Oryzias latipes: one gene and its partner. The protein of the gene in region 2 interacts with the protein of the main gene of each other region in a biochemical or structural test. Links are inferred from orthologs where the notes say so. Each region holds a gene or a part of one and is shown on either strand. Other genes may lie near its edges.

The links. The genes of interacting proteins can lie anywhere in the genome.
Region 1: the proteins of sumo2 (region 2) and eef1g form a complex in vitro, tested with the Homo sapiens proteins (2 studies listed by BioGRID). The link is inferred for Oryzias latipes from reciprocal best matches to the Homo sapiens genes SUMO2 and EEF1G.

Annotation. Positions count from the first base shown.
Region 1 is NC_019868.2:13,730,071-13,733,649, forward strand, and holds the end of eef1g (elongation factor 1-gamma), read right to left. Parts: intron 3,396-3,579; coding exon 3,223-3,395; intron 1,816-3,222; coding exon 1,691-1,815; intron 889-1,690; coding exon 730-888; 3' UTR 517-729; downstream 1-516. UniProt on the Homo sapiens protein: Probably plays a role in anchoring the complex to other cellular components.
Region 2 is NC_019866.2:13,026,857-13,030,337, forward strand, and holds the end of sumo2 (small ubiquitin-related modifier 2), read left to right. Parts: intron 1-659; coding exon 660-731; intron 732-2,871; coding exon 2,872-2,934; 3' UTR 2,935-2,951; downstream 2,952-3,481. UniProt on the Homo sapiens protein: Ubiquitin-like protein that can be covalently attached to proteins as a monomer or as a lysine-linked polymer.

The DNA.
Region 1 (3,579 bases), on a different chromosome or scaffold from region 2:
ACAACCTGCTCTTTCAAGATCAAAAAGTCCTCCTCACCTCACTGGTAAGTCTTCTTCTGCCCCCTGCAGGTATAATAGAAAAATGCAACACTGGCATTTTAATTGTTCCACACAATTTTAGGTGAAAAAGCCGATTGTTTTAAATTGTAAATTTGTCTAAAAGTTCAAAACTACTTGAAAACCTTAATGGCATTCGCTTCTCCATGTTTTTCTCTTTGAATGAGAAATAGAATATTAGCTCACATTACAATAGATCTGTTGAATCCATTCTTAATGTCAAAATTTTTAATTTGATTTAATATGCAGATGGACACTTAAAAGCTCAATAATTCACATCTGATGTCAACATAATGTCCATTTATCAATATGAAGCTTTTTTTTATGTTGTCAAACTCTAGAAGCCCATTTAAATTAAATTGCAATTTAAAAGTTGTTGCAATACCACACAGAAGTATTGACAACCAAAGGACAATCCTTAAACGGCTCACTAAGGATCAAAAACATACAACACAGAAGTGAAGTTGTCTCAATAGCATTGAGGAAAATGCTTTATTTCACAGGTCAGAAAAAACAGAAAACCAGTTTTGGAGGGCCCATTGAGAAAAAAAAAAGTCTTTGTTTTCAAACACGGTTATTCAAAGTCATTTCTGCTGCAAAGTAAGCACATGTGGCTGAAAGTCCATAGTTTTGATGGGGGGGCACAGAATTCCTCTAAATGTCAGCATCCTCTCACTTGAAGATCTTCCCCTGGTTGAAGGATTTCCCCACATGTTTGAATTCTCCCTCCCAGGCAAAATACTCTTTGACCATGGTCTTGCACTCATCGCTATCTGGATCCAACTTGCGCCAGTCGTAGGATTCGTAGTCAATCTGCCAGTCTTCAGAAAGCTAAGAATGACAGGAAGCACATGTTTATCCAGAACCCCAGCATCTAATCTCTGAATCAATAAACCATTTGTCAGATTTTAATAGTCTCCTTTAGCCACACATCTCTGTACCTTCAATGCATTAAAGGGCTTATTTCATACAAACTCAACTTTTTTTTAACTTTTAAGGGCATTATAATCTTCATTCCTCACGAAAAGAAATCCTAAAGTGGTACTTTGATAAGTTCAAGCATTTCTGAGTATTCCTCTAAAAACGAGCGGGTCTTCACGATCTGACATACATAAGTGATCAACAGCACTTTCTAGGAGGAGTCTGCGCTGCCAGCTCCGCCTCCAGGCTAACACACACACACACAGTGGAGCTAGCATTGGTCGGCAAAAACGCTTTCCCATTACATGCACATATAATAATTTGTTCTTTATGATCATACCCATATCTATGGATATAGTTTACCCTGAAAGGCCTAAGAAAAAGTAGAATTACAGACCCTTTAGTGCAGATATAGGTTGAACAGATTCCACTTGTAGCAACAGCATGAACCAGTCTAACTCACTGAATCAGAGATGACTGGGATGAATGGAGCTATTATTTCTTTTCCCCAGTCAGATTAAGACTTAGTGCCATATCTGGACACCGCCTTGCCCAATGACAGGGGAAATACAACTCATCTCGTTTTTGCCTTAAACATTCAAAGGAATTTCAAAGGCATCCGTTTCCCTCCATACATGTATGCAGCATGCAAAATGAATATTTTCTGGAAGCTTTCAAATCACAATTCTGAAGTCTATATTTCTGCACTTACGGTGAAAGCCAGCTCCTGTCCTCTGAACACCCAGATGCCTGAGATGGAGCTGTCATTGTTGGTGCCAAACAAGATGACACTGGCAAAGGCATTCTTTCTCAGTTTGTCCAGGCGTTGGAACATACCTATGAACACAGAGTTTTTAGACATTGTGGCAGCGTTTTCACAGAACAAAGTCATAGCAGAGTAACTGCAGCTGTGGGTTTAAGAGTAACGTCTGCAGTAATCTACACAGACTTGATCAACACCAGAATATTGTACAGAAAATAAACGGTACAATGTGACCACAGCATGAACCAGCTTGTTTCTCACTGAACCAGAGATGACTGGGATGAATATGGTCTTCATTTCTCTTCCCCTGACAGATTAAGGCTGAATGCCAAAACAGGACACTGCCTTGCCCATTGACAGGGGACATTTTTTCATCATTAAACATGAACCAATGCAATACATGAAATATGTACAAATGCATTACATTTCAAAAATTCACTGTATTGATTTATATATAAAAAAAGACGTTTGAAACTATACCTTTTTTTATTTCAGGGATGTGTTTACAGCATTTAAGCAAATGAAATAAAAGATTAAGATCTGTTGTAAAAAGTACATATTCATTCTGTAAAGAGTAAAAAATCTTTAAAAAAAATGTATGCAGGTATTTTCAAACTAAAATAGATCATGATATTTACAAGGTTAACAGTGAAACTACTGCTATTGTTTAAAGCTGAGGACTTGCAAAACTGTGTTAAACTTACAGTTCTACATTTAAAGAGCAAAAGAGAGGGTTCACACACACATCCATTCCAGGGTGAGGTGTGTACAAATATTTAAGTGATTTGGCAGGTCTTGAAGTCCCGTTTAAAACCAACACACCCATGGCTTTCCCAGTACATCACTAGACTCACCGGTCATTGTTTTTAGACAAACATGCAGGATTTCAACACTAAAAGAAAAGTGGTAAAGGTGTGTGTAGATATCCATTTGGCAGGCAAACATATTTGAGAATACAGGAAGTGATAGGAAATGGGGCCAAAATACAATTAAAAACATTTCTGATCTTACTTTTTCAACAAAATAAACTTTACTATCAGTTATAACACATAATCCAGAAACCGTTTGAAGGGTGCAGCTCCTTTGTGTTGATCAAATAGATATACAGAATAAGCCTACTAAACTTATCCCTGCATTTGATCCACCCTTTGGACAAACCAGTTTTAAAAACCAAAACTGCAACACATTCACTTCAAGGGATGAGTCTAAAAACTAAAGGGTTGGTGCCATAGCAACATCACCATTTAAGTTAAAAATTGATTTGAAAATAAATGAAGAAATCACCAAAAATATCAATGCTTAGAACAAGTTCTTAAGCGAAGAGTGTTATGCACAAATTTCTAATTAAAATGTTACACTAAAATCCCCTACATGGTCTCCTTTATCTTCGTGTTACTGACTAAACAAACATTCCACTACTTTTATGGAAGATGCAAAAAGTAATGAATTGACAATACACCAGCCAACCCCTTTGGTCTCACCTGTAATAAGGTTGCAGCTCTTGAAGGTAAGTGTGAGTTCTTCTGGGTATTTGTACTGACTGTACCAGATGGAGTAGCCCTCGCGGTCAAAGTGCTCCCAGAAGTGAGGAATTGCTACAGTCAAGGTGTCCTCGTTGGAGTACTTTCTCTTGAACTCGTCAAAGACAAATGTGCTTTTAAAACAGAAACAAACAACACGGAGATCATTGTTCTGCTCTTAACTAAAGCAGAATTAAGACAGCAGACCATAAATGCAATTACAAAAACATCAAAACGAAGCCCAACATGATGAATGTCTACCATTGTTTTACATTTACAACAAACAAATGTCAAAATAAATGTACCATGTTTCAGCAT
Region 2 (3,481 bases):
TATATGTGTGTGTTTCATTGAATTATTAATTGAGTTATAAAAAAGTTAGAGCTAACTGAACCCAAATATAAAATATTGCTCGTAGCTCTTGTATTGGCTTGTAAACGCCGCAGCAGTTTTTTTTTTTTGCTTTGTTTTTTTTGAACGGGTTCATAAACGCTGTTGTTTTTCAGGATTATAACTCGATTACCATGAAATGTTTACATCTTTTCACATCTTTCTAAATAATAACAAAAAACTCCTTATCTTATCCCTTTAGGATCTGGGATTCTCTCTACTCACTGAAAATGTAACCTATAAGTTAAATGAGGTTCTAATAGTTGAAAGCCTGAATTATTGTTTAATCTACAGCTTGATTTTCTCTGTATGACACAGCATGTGTGTGTTTGTCAGTGTAATGTGAATCAACTCTGACCTGTTGTAGGAAAACAGTCTTTCCTTCAGTGTCTCACGTCTGTGCTAATAATACATAACATGTGACATTATACATATTAATTAGTATATTAACTATGAATAAATACATTTATTACATGTATTGTTTTTTTTAATAGAACCACACAATTTTTGCTTTTTTTATGTATATGAACAGGAAATGTGTTCCAGTCACTCTAACGGAAAGCAGGCCTTTTGCTACAAATTAATAAGTATTGTCTTTGCAGGGACTTTCAATGAGGCAAATAAGGTTCAGATTCGACGGACAGCCAATAAATGAGACAGACACACCTGCACAGGTAGGACTGATGATATGCAAAACCTGCTGCCAGTGGAGTTTATCCCAAAAACGTGTTATAACAAAAATCCTTTATATGGGTGGATGAAGATAAAAGTAATGGATAGGTAGATAAATAGCTTGTTGAGTAGATTTGTAGGCTAGCTAGCTATATCTATCTATTTATGCTAAATACTTGCAACATAAATTAGGCAAATCTTGATGAATTGGCTGAACAATATTTCTTTCATCTTTTTTAGCAGGGGTGTCCCGATGTGATCACGTAGTTTCAAACTCGATTGGAATCCGATGTTGCGATCAGATCAGGACTCGGATATTTATTTTATCATTATTATATATTTCAATCTTAACTTTACAGATAAACACTTTACCAGATGTCTTCAAATTCTGACCGGATCCCAACGTTTTACTGCCATAAAGTGCAGCAGACAATGAGGCTAGGAGGCGCTGAAAGACAGTTTGAGAAGGTTAGCAAGATATTCACAGATTTGGACCTTCAGGCTCAATAATTCTTAAATGAGCACTTTAAACTGACAGCGAGTGTCATTGTCTCAACTCAAACAACAACTTAGAAAGGCGTTTAAAAAGAAAAGGGATCGAGCTTTGGTTACTTTTTAATGAGAATTGCTCTCTCCGTGCTGCTGACAGAAAGTCGGCAGTGAAAGGTGAAAGCTCTGGGAAAAAGTTATTTAAAAATGAAAAAAAAAAAGAAATCCATTTAAAAAAAACTAAAACTGATAAATGGTTACATTGATATGAGCTATTCATAAATATTTATGTTACAACAACAATTTTAAAAGACAGTCATCATTAATTTTAATGACTTTTTAATGCAAGTATGAATCACATAAGAACCAAAAATGTTCAATAATTCTGAGGATACTAAAGCTACAGTCACCAAACTTTCTCCCATGAATAATTATTTCCTATTTTTTACTAGTTTATAGTTAACTGTTCTTTGTAGTTGAAAGTTTTACGACTTTTGCTTGATTCTTTGAGTTATTTCACAGCGGCAAATTGTTTAAGTGTTAAATAATTAAAGAAAGTGAATAAAGTAAAAATCTGTGATAACCTGACTTCATTACATTTGATCATTTTTTATGTGTTACAATAATATCGGATCAGGCCTCGGTATCGGTACATACTCAAAATCAAATGACTCTGAATCGGATCGGGACTTCCTTAGTTTTTAGTTCTTGTTCCAAAGCTGGTCTGACTAAATCAATGCAGCCTCTAAATTAATGTATTAGGTTTAAAACATTCATGAGGTTCTTTTGTTGGGTTTGATCAATAAGCCATGAATCTCTGTAGAAATGAGCACATATGTTTTAGGCTTCTTTTGTTTAAGACCCATGATGTGATTCTGTTATTACCTATTTTCATTTTATTTCTTTTATTATTTTTCTCTTAGTAATGCAACCAGAACAAGATAACACTCACATTTTGGTTAAGAAACTCTTTGATTTCTAACGAAAACCAGGCCATTTACTTCTTTTATTTTTTGGTTTTTATTCCATTTTTTTATTTATTTTTTTTTTGCTTTCTGGGCTAGAACTTCACTGCAGTTTAGAGCAAACAGAAAACCCTCCGAATATTGAAGTGTAAATGAATAAACTTGTTGGCCATGCAGGTATTTCATATCCTCAAGCAGCAGCTTGCCGTGCTTGATGTCTTGATGCCAGATAATAGCGCTTCCATGGGAAACTTGTTCTGCCACAGGCAGAGAGGATTTATCATCTACATTCAGATGTCTGACGGAAACCTTTATCCACTTGTAGAGTTTGTTACGACGGCCAACGCACATGCACTGAATTAACTTCTATGATTGTATTATTGTAACCACACCATTGTTGTTTGAGGTTAAAGTGGTATTTTTGCTGTTCAAGGCAAATCTGTGTGCATGCTGTAGTCATAAAAACATCCCGCACTGTCATTTCTGATGCAGCTTTGGGGTTTGATATGCCCAGGGGGCAGAGTGTCAGCCCAAGGTCACATTCCACATGAATGGAACATGATGACATTTGCTTTTTTTTGCCCCCTTTATTGTAGAGAATTTCCCCTCTTATTTTAAAGATTAGATGTATTTAAATGTCTGAAAGGTATGTCTGTATGTATGACACTTTGTCCCCTTTTATCAACAGTTGGAAATGGAAGATGAAGATACAATTGATGTGTTTCAACAGCAGACGGGGGGCCGGATTTAATCAGCCACACATGCTGCCAGCCTCCTCTTCAACTTCGCCAGCATGCCACGCCACCCAGCAGCTGGCTCTCTGCGACTCTCAGTTGTGCCGACAGAATTCCACGCAGAAGGTTTAATTTCTCTGCTACACAAAACTGCTGTATGATATTTTCATCATGGCCCCCGTTACTTCTCTGCCCGTGTACATAAACTACATCCAGATCACCTCCAGTTCTGGTCATTTATTCCGTAATCTAGTAACTAATAACCTCCTGTCCCAGTTTAAAAGGTTTATTGTAAAGATGCTGTCTGCTGGGGCTTGGATTTGAGCAAGTTGGACTCTCACGGTCCATTAAAAAAAGGAGAAAAAAAAGAAATCTGTTTTTAAGATATACAAGTTGTTGGGTTGATTTCACTTAGTGAGCCATATACCTAGTTTATGGATGGAGCTTGGTTATAATTTACTTTTTCTTACCAACAGAAAATTTGGTTTTATACTTTTTATAGGGTATTGGATGTTTAGAAAACGAAAAGTGCTTTGTTAAGCTTCAAATTTGGAAACCAAAAGG